Linked DNA regions of Sus scrofa. The protein of the gene in region 3 purifies or fractionates together with the protein of the main gene of each other region. This does not show direct contact. Links are inferred from orthologs where the notes say so. Each region holds a gene or a part of one and is shown on either strand. Other genes may lie near its edges.

What was found. The genes of interacting proteins can lie anywhere in the genome.
Region 1: the proteins of MAP1S (region 3) and RASSF1 purify together in Homo sapiens (affinity purification with mass spectrometry; 4 studies listed by BioGRID and IntAct, counting the BioPlex papers as one, with this or other methods). This does not show direct contact. The link is inferred for Sus scrofa from reciprocal best matches to the Homo sapiens genes MAP1S and RASSF1.
Region 2: the proteins of MAP1S (region 3) and STK3 purify together in Homo sapiens (affinity purification with mass spectrometry; 3 studies listed by BioGRID and IntAct, with this or other methods). This does not show direct contact. The link is inferred for Sus scrofa from reciprocal best matches to the Homo sapiens genes MAP1S and STK3.

The regions. Positions count from the first base shown.
Region 1 is NC_010455.5:32,815,514-32,819,293, reverse strand, and holds the end of RASSF1 (ras association domain-containing protein 1), read left to right. Parts: exon of another isoform or gene 1-678; coding exon of another isoform or gene 679-723; coding exon 724-828; intron 829-1,025; coding exon 1,026-1,323; intron 1,324-1,443; coding exon 1,444-1,559; intron 1,560-2,179; coding exon 2,180-2,326; 3' UTR 2,327-3,138; downstream 3,139-3,780. UniProt on the Homo sapiens protein: Potential tumor suppressor. Required for death receptor-dependent apoptosis. Mediates activation of STK3/MST2 and STK4/MST1 during Fas-induced apoptosis by preventing their dephosphorylation.
Region 2 is NC_010446.5:38,304,257-38,307,419, reverse strand, and holds the end of STK3 (serine/threonine-protein kinase 3), read right to left. Parts: intron 2,011-3,163; coding exon 1,852-2,010; 3' UTR 643-1,851; downstream 1-642. UniProt on the Homo sapiens protein: Stress-activated, pro-apoptotic kinase which, following caspase-cleavage, enters the nucleus and induces chromatin condensation followed by internucleosomal DNA fragmentation.
Region 3 is NC_010444.4:60,022,322-60,026,246, reverse strand, and holds part of MAP1S (microtubule-associated protein 1S), read left to right. Parts: intron 1-524; coding exon 525-607; intron 608-1,675; coding exon 1,676-1,816; intron 1,817-2,512; coding exon 2,513-3,925. UniProt on the Homo sapiens protein: Microtubule-associated protein that mediates aggregation of mitochondria resulting in cell death and genomic destruction (MAGD). Plays a role in anchoring the microtubule organizing center to the centrosomes. Binds to DNA. Plays a role in apoptosis.

The DNA.
Region 1 (3,780 bases), on a different chromosome or scaffold from region 3:
AGCCTGGCCTAAAGCCACCTTTTGTGTGGCTTGTGTCAAGATCAAATGGCATGTCACAGTGGTTTCCTCACTATGTCAGATATACAGGGCTGGCCCCAAGTCCCCCACCAGGGGGTGTTAATTGTTAACATTGTAGAGGTTGCTGTTCCCCTTCTGCCCACTGGCGGCCGAGCTCCTGGTATGCACCAGTCCCTACACCTCTCACTGTATAGAGGGTCTTGGTCAGGGCAGAGTAGCAAAGTGGATTGCCTTCTCCAGGACACGCCCTGACCCCACCCAACTAGGGTGCTGAGATAAGCTGTCCATCCTCAGAATCCCCATCCTTTTCCTAGCCCCTAGCCTCATTCATGCCTTCAGTTACCTTGGTTTCCAGGTATTCTTAGGGCCTTACCCAGTGCTAAGGTGGCTCCAGGCAGGAAGTAATAGGTTATTCTCATCAAGGCTCAAACTTTTCTTTGCTTTTTGGCCACTCCCACATCCTGTGAAAGTTCCGCGGCCAGGGATTGAATCCACAACACAGCTGTGACCCAAGCTACTACAGTAACAATGCCAGGTCTTTAACCCACTGAGCCACCAGGGAACTCCAGACCTCAAGCTTTGTTGTCACTTTCTATAGGCCACTTTTCATAGTGGTCCATCCAGGGCTCACTTCCTTTGCCTGTGACACATTACAGAGGAATGGGTTCCTTAAGAATCCTGTGTCCACACCTTCCCATCTTTCAGGATGAGCCCGTGGAGTGGGAGACACCTGACCTTTCTCAGGCTGAGATTGAGCAGAAGATCAAGGAGTACAACAGCCAGATCAACAGCAACCTGTTCATGAGCCTTGTGAGTTGACATCCTGTTTTGGAGAGGGGCAGGAACCCAGCTGTGTGCCTGATGCCCAAGGATCACAGCTGAGGTTTTCTTGGGTAGGCCCAAGCAGTGATTTATTCATACCCAGCCTAGCCCCAAGTGGGCTGGTAGCATCCAAATCTGTTCCATCTCACTTGGCACCTAGTCATGGTTTGCTTTTTCTTCTTCAGAACAAAGACGGCTCCTATACAGGCTTCATCAAGGTTCAGCTGAAGCTGGTGCGTCCTGTATCCGTTCCCTCCAGCAAGAAGCCACCCTCCTTGCAGGATGCCCGGCGGGGCCCAGGGCGGGGCACAGCTGTGAAACGCCGTACCTCCTTCTACCTGCCTAAGGATGCTGTCAAGCACCTGCATGTGTTGTCACGCACCCGGGCACGTGAAGTCATCGAGGCCCTGCTGCGCAAGTTCTTGGTGGTAGATGATCCCCGCAAGTTTGCGCTCTTTGAGCGGGCTGAGCGCCATGGCCAAGGTGGGCTTCCCACTCCACCCCACCCCATCATGTCTGAAAGTAAATGTGCTTGTGCATGCAGCAGCTGAGGGGACTGGGCCTGACTAATCAAACACTCCCGTCCCCCTGCCTGGTCCTCAGTGTACCTCCGGAAGCTATCAGATGATGAGCAGCCCCTTCGGCTCCGGCTCCTCGCAGGGCCCAGTGAGAAGGCCCTAAGCTTTGTCCTGAAAGAAAATGACTCTGGGGAGGTGAACGTGAGTATACAGCCATCCTTAGTTTCTTGGTTGTCACTGGGCAGGACTGGTGAGTTGCAGCTACAGTAGCCCTGCAAGACCTCTCCCAAGAGTATTTGAAACTTGTAGCTAAAGTGACACTCATGCCAAGGTCTAGGGCCTAACTCAAGAAGCCAGGAAGAAATGTCTTTGTGCTCTGCTCTTTCCCATTGTGGAAAGCCCTCCGGTGATGCAGGAGTCCCATTCTACAGTGTGGTGGTCAGATCAAAGTCACACAGATGGGCACAGGATGACATGGAGGCACCCCCTTCAGGCATTAGAACTTTTTACCTGGAATCTTTCTAGCTCCAAGGTAGTACACAGGCAGAGTGAGATTTAACTCAGAGAGAGTGGGTATGATTATCCACAGGTAACTGGGGAACATTTGGCTTGGCTGCCTGTCCACGAGGTGACCGCCCTACTTTGTGGGGCCCATCTTGTATGTGGATTGTCGTTGGAAATCCTAGCAGAGGCCATCAGGCAAGAAGCCGACTTTAGAAAGCCCCATCCCAGCTGTGTGATCATGATGCTCTGGTCTTTTCTGGGGAGGGCTTGCTGGCTTGTTGGTGTGTGCTGCAGCCTGTGTCTCCCCCCCTCTACAGTGGGATGCTTTCAGCATGCCTGAACTACACAACTTCCTACGCATCCTGCAGCGGGAAGAAGAGGAACACCTCCGCCAGATCCTGAAGAAGTACTCCTATTGCCGCCAGAAGATCCAGGAAGCCCTGCATGCCTGCCCCCTGGGGTGACCTCTTGTACCCCTGGGGTGACCTCTTGTACCCCTGGGTGGAAGGAGGAGAGTAGGCAGCGCCAAGGGCGTGCCGTGTGAGTGTGCGAAGGCCCATGTGGCCTGAGGAATGAATGTGCATGGAGGCCCTCTCTTGCTGGGGGAATGAGCCCAGAGAACAGCGAAGGAGCTGGTCCCCTGTGTCCACAAGTGGGTGTAACAGAGCATGGCTCTGCACCCTTCTGCCCTTCATGTACTGGGTCATGGTGGGCCAGGGTTGCCCTGGGAAGCTGCTCCAGGGTTGCCAATGGGGCTGGAGCAGACAGAAGTCTACTTAATTTGTATCTTAGATACAAGAATCTTTGAGATCCTACAAACAAATAATAGGGTCATGTTTGCAGGGATGAGGGCCCTCATCTATGGTGAAAGATTGTGTTTTAAGTCTTGGATAGGGTCTCAGGACAGCCCTGTCACAACCAAGGATGGATATTCTAGGCATCAAGGAAGTCTAGGATTCTCTCTGTAGCACCCTCTGACTCCTCAGACACTCTGGGGTCAGGTAGTGCTAGCTCATGGTGCAGCAATGGTGCCTCAGTGCCTCCTCCAAGGAGGATGTCCCTGGGTCAGGGTTTGTGTGTGGGCACTGGCCCACCTCTGTGCCTTGTTTGCCAGTCAAAGCCAGGGTCTTTCCCTTGAGTATTTTTGATGATGTGTGCGAATGTATGTAATATTTTGTGACCTCAGCTCACTGCCTCCTGTTGGGAAAGGGGTCGGGGTGAAGGGCATCAGGGCCTGGGGCTTGAGAGAATTGGCTGAATAAAGATTTAAGCATTCTGCTTTTGGATTCTTTTACGGGCCCTCATCTGCAGTTGCCCCTCATGCCAGTGGCTGCCAAGATTGACAGACAGCCTCATAAAGCACCTTTTCCACGGGGACCATGAGACCAATTTGTGAAGGTTGTGCGATATGGATATGTACTTGGTCATTAGTCAACACCTGGGAGCTCAGGGCATGGTAGAGGCAAGAACATCAGCTGTGGCCGGAGCTTAGGGAAACCACACACTTCGCCAAATATTCAGACACTGGTGTGGAGCAGACACTGCTTATGGGACCGAAGGTACAGATGTTAACCTTCATGAAGCATGGTTTTTGGTGGGTTTAGAAAGAACACGATTTGAAGTTCTTCAGTCCTGAATGTAGCCATACAACCACTGGCCAATTCTCCTTAAGTTCGGTATTTTCTCCGCATGCCACGGTGGGAATAGCAAACAGCGTGGGAATACAATGAGGCCAGAGAGGCACTTCCCAGCCTGGCCTGAAGTCAGGCCCTAAAGTGCTGGTTTGAGAGGACCTGGTGGTTGGACGGGTCCGCTGAGCCTGACTTCTAGGGGTTGTGGACGTTTACGCCGCCACACACATCGAAGAAGCCAGGAGCACACCGCCACAGGTTTCTTGTGTGGGAGCGGCCCCAGGTGG
Region 2 (3,163 bases), on a different chromosome or scaffold from region 3:
TCCACTATTTTAATGATCTTATAATTTGTATCCAGTTACACAGTTTACTAGTTGTAAGGACTCAACACAGCAAAAGAAACACTACTCCAGGCATTACCTGGGGCACAATGCCATTTTATTTTATTTTAGTTTTATTTTTGCTTTTTAGTGAAAATGGAACCTCCATGGCATACGGAGGTTTCTAGGCTAGGGGTTTGAATCAGAGCTGTAGCCTCTGGCCTACACCACAGCTCACAGCAACACTGGATCCTTACCCATCAAGTGAGGCCAGGGCTCAAACCTGCAACCTCATGGTTGCTAGTTGGATTTGTTTCCACTGCGCCACAACGGGAACTCCCCAACGCTGCCATTTTGGAGAACAGAAGTTTCCAGAGATGACACACCTCCTGAGGTAGTCATTAGTGAGCCTGTCAGCATGTGGTGAGCACTGATGTTACAGCTTTGTCAGCAGGGTCCCTGGGTATGAAAGATGGGAGCAGGGCACACAAGTGCCAAATAACCTGGCTAGCGGTAAGCCACTGAAGGGTTCAGAGTTGTTATCACAGCATAATCTAGCCTGTCCAGACAAATATACCTTCCTTGCCCTGGAAAAGACAGAATCCAGGTCATGAGTTTTTTAAAAAAAGATACAGAGATGAAATGTGTTGGGTGGCACAGTAAAATTTATTTGTCTTTATGATTTACATGTAGTAATTAAACACACAAAAGAACAAACGCTGTCAAGATGGCCATATGTAGCTTAGGAAAATGACTGGTCCCAGTTCAATCATGCAAATGTTCATTCAGCTTAGAAATGAGTTTCTTTTTAATAGTTTTAATCTTTATCAGTCCCCAAGGCTTGCACAGTTCAGTACAAATGTTTCTGCTATTTTGCTATCATCAGGCACATGATGTTTACCAATTCCCAGGAAATAAATGAAATCAACAAAAATGTCTGGTGACAACTGAGCACATTTTCACAGAAAAAATGTCATGAGCTTATTACAATTTGATACAGTTTAGCTATGAGACCTACACATGAAACAATATTCACAATTACATTTGTCTTAAGGAATTATTTCTTTTAAAAAATTTACCATGCTTTTTTGTGCAAGGGTTCCATTGATTTCTTTGGTTTTAAACATTACAGCTCTGTCTGACCTAAATATATATAGTTTTATTTGTACCAAGCATCAAAAATAAAAAATTAAAACTTCAGAAGGTAAAAATGGAATTATTGCTTCTGTATAAAAAAATGCCTGGGCCCTTTGGGTACTATTGCTATTATTGCTTTGCTTCTATTGGAAAACTATCCTGGAAATGAAAGCATGTACCCCAGAGCTCCCTGCTTACAGTATAATTGGGTTGTTCATTATCATCTAGTAATAGTCCCTGCCTTCACCAAAGCTATCCTGATCTTGTCCTTAAAAAACAAAACAAGGTGAAATAGCATAAATAAATAAGTTTACCTAAAGGGATACAATAAATAGGCTAATAGAAAAGAATAAAGAATACTGTAACATAAAGCCCTTCGGTGCTGTACAATTACACAACAGCTTTGGATTTTCAAGGTTTCTAAACACAGCCTTCGTTTTAAAACACAGTTTTAGTACTGGTATGCAGCTGACAGATGTAGAGAACACCATTTCTGCTGTTTTCATTATTTAAAAAATGAAAACACAGTGGATACAGTATTAAATTCTGTCTTTGGGGAATTTACCTGGGTTTGTACCATCGTCAGTTTTTGACTGCTGCCTGGTTGTAGAGCACGGATCTTAAGAGATTGAAAAAGATAGCATAATACCCCTTCAATTCTTAGTGGTTTCTTGGTCTCCAGAACAGTCATAGAAACAAACAGAGGAGAAATTAGATTCAAAAGTTCTGCTGCCTTCTTTTCTTGGCATCCATCGCATCCAGAATGGGTTGTCTTTTCGCAGTGTATCTCTGACGGAGCTCTTCTATTTCTCGCTCCATCATGGGGTCCAGCGCTTTTAACCGCATCTGTAGTTCTTCTAAACTTAGATTTTTTAACTGAGTGTAAGGAAAAAAAAGTAATAATTATCTATAATGGGTTAAAGTCTAATGAATTTTAGCAGGAATATTTCAACTCTTTACATCATCTTTGAAATATGGCTCAACAATTAAAACATGAATTCTTTCCTTGAAGAATCAGGAAGCCACATCTTGCGAGAAAGAACCTCAAGTAATTTGCAATGAAACAGTAAAACAAAAACAAAAAAAAACCCTTCTGCTTTTAGGAAAGAACAAATGAGAAAAATAAGCTAACAAAAATGTGTGTTTAAAAAAGGCAGAAAGATACATCCACCATTGTCACCAAACAGACTTTCTGGCTAAGTTGGGGATGTATTCCCTCTGATCTCGCACAGCCTCGCCAGCTGTGGAGCGCTACAGCAATCACAGATACTTGCAGAGATCCCCCAAGAATGTGACAAGACTGAATACAGCTTAAATTGACTGCTCTAGCCTGCATTTTACCAAAGGCTTAAATTTTAAGCACTTGGTTAATCAGAAAATTAAATGATCCAGAATACTTTTACCCCAAGCATTTTGATAGAATAGGGCTTATGATTCAAAATAACCTAAATCTAGTACAAACAGTGCCATGTAAGTTCTGACATGGGGCTTGGCCAATTTGAAAGTGAAATACTTCTCACATGTTCACTGTATACATTATACAGTAATGGTATGATTTGACTGAATGATTTAGTTTTATTGTGCTAGCTTCTGGGGATACCACCAGCGCATCCTTTACTGGTTTTCTGTGTAACAACAGAAGGCAGGCCTCATGTCCTGTGTGAATGGGAGATAAAATCTGTTCGATGTAACAGGATCTATGGCATCCTGAGATTTATTGTATTTATTTATATGTCAAGTCAGTAAGATACGGGTTATCTCCTGATAAACATATTTTAGGGATACTGCCTCAGGGCTCATAGGATGCCCTGAAATATATAACCTAACACTTTTAACAACAACAACAAAAAAAATCCAGAACTCTTGTCTCCTTCAGAAACTGACTCTTAAAGCAATGGGGGCAGGCAGGTAATTAAAAAAAATCTGTTAAAGCACAATGATTTACCGTTTGCTATTACTTATCTTGGTAGGAACTGTAAGAGAGTAAAGAAGTACTATTTCCTTGCCTTGAGAAACTTACAAATTAGTT
Region 3 (3,925 bases):
TGCTGCTTCATATTTGGAATATATCTGGGCTCTAGGGGACAGACAAAGTTTTGGATCCCAGAACCCCCTGCTCCAACCCCACCTGCCACTTCCTGATCCTCAGACACACAGAGCTCAATCATGCCTCAGGGCCCTTGCCAATGTTGTACTCTTTTCCTGGTGTCCCCTCCTTGGACTTCCCTGGGTTCAGTCTCCTTGTTTATAAAATGAAGGTGACCTCGGCATCCCCCAAGGGGCTGGCAGCTGCAGTTTGGGGCCTCAAGCAGCAGAGGCCTTGTCATCACTGGTGTTTGCACGAGGCCTGCCACAGGCGGGTTTCCTGTTCTTGCCTCATCCTGACCTGCAGCTCTCACATGCCTGTTAATCCCAGGATGACCCCCTGGCTGGGGTTCCTGGGAAACAGAGTCCTGGAGGGGCTTGTGGCTGCCTGGGGTCACATAGTGAGGCAGAGCTTGACCCCAGGACAGCCTAACCCCCACGTATGGGGCTCAGTGCCACACTCACAGGGCCTGATTCCCCCGTAGGCCAGCGGAGCCTGCACCACCGTGGAGATACCCTGGAGACGCTGGTCCTTCTGAATCCATCAGACAAATCCCTATGTGACGAGGTAGGAAACGGTAGGCTCCTGGGGGAATTGGGCTGCTGGGGTGGGCACCATTCCCTGTCCTCTGACTTCATATTGCCTGAAGTCCTGCTCCTGATACCCAGCAGCAGTGCCCCTCCCCCAGGAAGCCTCACGTGATGGCACCAGCCTCAGTTTATTCCCTTCTCAGAGCTGGTGATGGGAGCAGGTAGAATCAGAAAAGGTTGGAGTTTGGGAGGAACGGATGGGATAGGGAAGGTCTGGAGGTGGGAAGGCAAGACCTGGCTGATGTTTGCATCCTATGTGTTCCCTCTGGACCCCAGTAATTGTCTCAATTGATTTCTTAATACTTCTGACTTGTGGACATCTGCACTCTTCTCTCAGTTTTCCATGAGAAAGATGAACAAGATAGAGCCCCAGATCTAGAGATCCTTGTGCAGATTGATTCCTCTGATCAAAAGTGCTCCCTGGGAGTTCCCATCGTGGCTCAGAGGGTTAAGAACCCTACTAGTATCTGTGAGGATGTGGGTTGGATCCCTGGCCTTGCTCAGTGGATCAAGGATCTGGTGTTGCTCTAAGCTGTGGTGTAGATTGCAGATGCGGCTCAGATCCAATGTTGCCGTGGCTGTGGTATAGGCTGACTGATAGTGGTGGCTCCGCTTCGACCCCTAGCCTGGGAATTTCCACATGCCGCAGCTGCAGCCCTAAAAGGCCCCCCAAAAAAACAAAAAACAAAAAAACGCTCCCTGAAGGAGCTTTGGAGGAGACAGACTCAGACACAGTACCTTCTTCCCTGTGGCATTGGGGCTGGGCCAGTGGGAGGGGTGGGCTTGGGGCATCAGGGCTTCCAGGAGGAGGGGGCATTGGAGCTGGGCTTTCTAGATTGAGCAGGAGTTGGTGGGGGCGGGTACACAAAGACCAGCAGGATGCCCATAGGCTACAATCTCAGCTTCTAGTTTAGCACTGGCTAGGATGTTGGGGCGACAGGAGTGAGTGGTTATATATAGATTTGGGGCTGGGGACGACCCTGAAGTGGGGTGTTGGCTATCTCAATGCACAGAATATGGCCTTGAACACTTCCTCCTCCCTTAGCTCCGGAATCTTCTTTTGGACCCTGCTTCTCACAAGCTGCTGGTGCTGGCTGGGCCATGCCTGGAGGAGACAGGGGAACTGCTGCTACAGACGGGGGGCTTCTCACCTCGCCACTTCCTCCAGGTCCTGGGGGACAAAGAGGTAAGCCATCCCTTCCCCATCCTGCCTCTGATTTCTGGTTTCTCCCCACTGGGCTGAGTGGTCCCAGTCACCTGCTGTCCCCACTGAGCAACATCCCTTCCTCCCCTGTGGAATGACAGTGACAACATATGTTGTCAGAGCCCAGTCCCATTACTCACTACAGTGTGTGGTCCGAGGCTGGGCCCGTAGATCAGCAGATGTTCCAGAGGCCTCAAGGGGTACCCCAGATTCTAGGTCCCATCTGGGGCAGAACTAGATGGGGTCCCTTCTGGACCCTTTAGTCTAGGTGGGGCAAATGAGCAAAAAACCTCTGGCCAACCATGTTTTCATGTTGTAGTGAGTAATATAGTGATGGTGAAATAAGAACCAGTACACAGAGGTGAGGGTGCAAGGTGGCGTATGGAAGGCCTTCCTGGAGGAAGCTTTGCTCTCGGAGGTGAGAACAGCTAGTGCAAAGGCCCTGGGGCAGGGAGAGTGAGAGAGGATGGGGGAGGGCAGGTGGGGAACAGGTGGCAAGCAGGACCATGGCCTCTCCTGGGCTGTGGCGAGCACTGGGTTCTGTCCTGAGGGCAACAAGGGTGGGCAAAAGCTGCTCCCAGCTCCACAAGGCAGATCAGGGCTGTCTTTGCTTAGTCTCCCTAAGGGGCTGGCTGTTGCCTGGCTCCAGGTGCCCCCTTCACCATCCCCCCTTTACAGATCCGGGATCTCCTGGCCTCCACACCCCCACCTGTGGACCCGCCCAAGCTCACCATCACCTGTCCGACCTTCGGTGACTGGGCCCAGCTGGCACCTGAAGTGTCTGGCCTCCAGGGCGTGCTCCAGCTGCAGTTAAACCCTCCCGTGCACCTGCCGGCTTCCGAAGGCCTGCGTGAGTTCCTGGAGTATGTGGCTGAGTCGCTGGAGCTGCCGTCCCCCTTTGAGCTGCTCGAGCCTCCGGCCTCCGTGGGCTTCCTCCGGCTCGCCCGGCCCTGCTGCTACATCTTCCCTGGTGGCCTCGGGGATGCTGCCTTCTTCGCTGTCAACGGCTTCACCGTGCTGGTCAACGGGGGCTCTAACCCCAAGTCAAGCTTCTGGAAGCTGGTGCGGCACCTCGACCGGGTGGATGCCGTGCTGGTGACCCACGCGGGCGCCGACAGCCTCCCTGGCCTCAACAGTCTGCTGCGGCGCAAGCTGGCAGAGCGCGATGAGGCAGCTGCTGGCGGGGGCTCCGGGGACGACCGGCTGCGCAGGCTGATCTCCCCCAACCTGGGGGTTGTGTTTCTCAATGCCCGGGCGGCCGCCTCGCGGCTGGTGCGTGGCGAGGACGAGGCAGAGCTGGCCCTGAGTCTCCTGGCCCAGCTGGGGATCACACCCCTGCCCCTGCACCGCGGGCCGCTGCCGGCCGAGCCCACAGTGCTCTTCCAGAAGATGGGTGTGGGCCGGCTGGACATGTACGTGTTGCACCCACCCTCGGCTGCTGCTGACCACACACTGGCCTCCGTGTGCGCCCTGCTGGTGTGGCACCCAGCAGGCCCCGCTGAGAAGGTGGTACGAGTGCTGTTCCCTGGCTGCACGCCTCCTGCTCGCCTCCTGGATGGCCTGGTCCGCCTGCAGCACTTGGGGTTCTTGCGGGAGCCTGTGGTGACCCCCCAGGACCTGGCAGGGCCTCGGCGAGCTGAGAGCAAGGAAAGCGTCGGCTCCCGGGACAGCTTGAGGCGAGAGGGCCGGGCCACGGTGCCCTCCAGGCCTGCCCAGGAGCGCCCCGGGGTGACCCGAAAGGAGCCCCCGCGGGCCGAGGCCCCTCGCAGGGCTGAAAAAGAAGCCAGGCCCCCCCGGGAGGTGAAGAAGGACCCCAAGCTGAGTGCCCCTCGGGCAAGGGAGCCAAGGGAGGTACGCCGGACGGCCTCCGCTGTGGTCAGCAGCAAGAAGGCGGGTGCCCAAGCTGCTCCCAAGCCCCGCAGAGCACCCAACACACCACGCCCTGGTGTCCCACCGGCAGAGAATGGGCCCCGCAGCCCTCCCAGCTTCCGATGTGGAGAGGCCAGCCCCCCCACAGAAGCCTGTGGCTCCCCAGCCCCTCAGCTCGTGGCCACCCCCAGCCAGGAGAGCAGCCTGGAGCTGGGGCTGAGC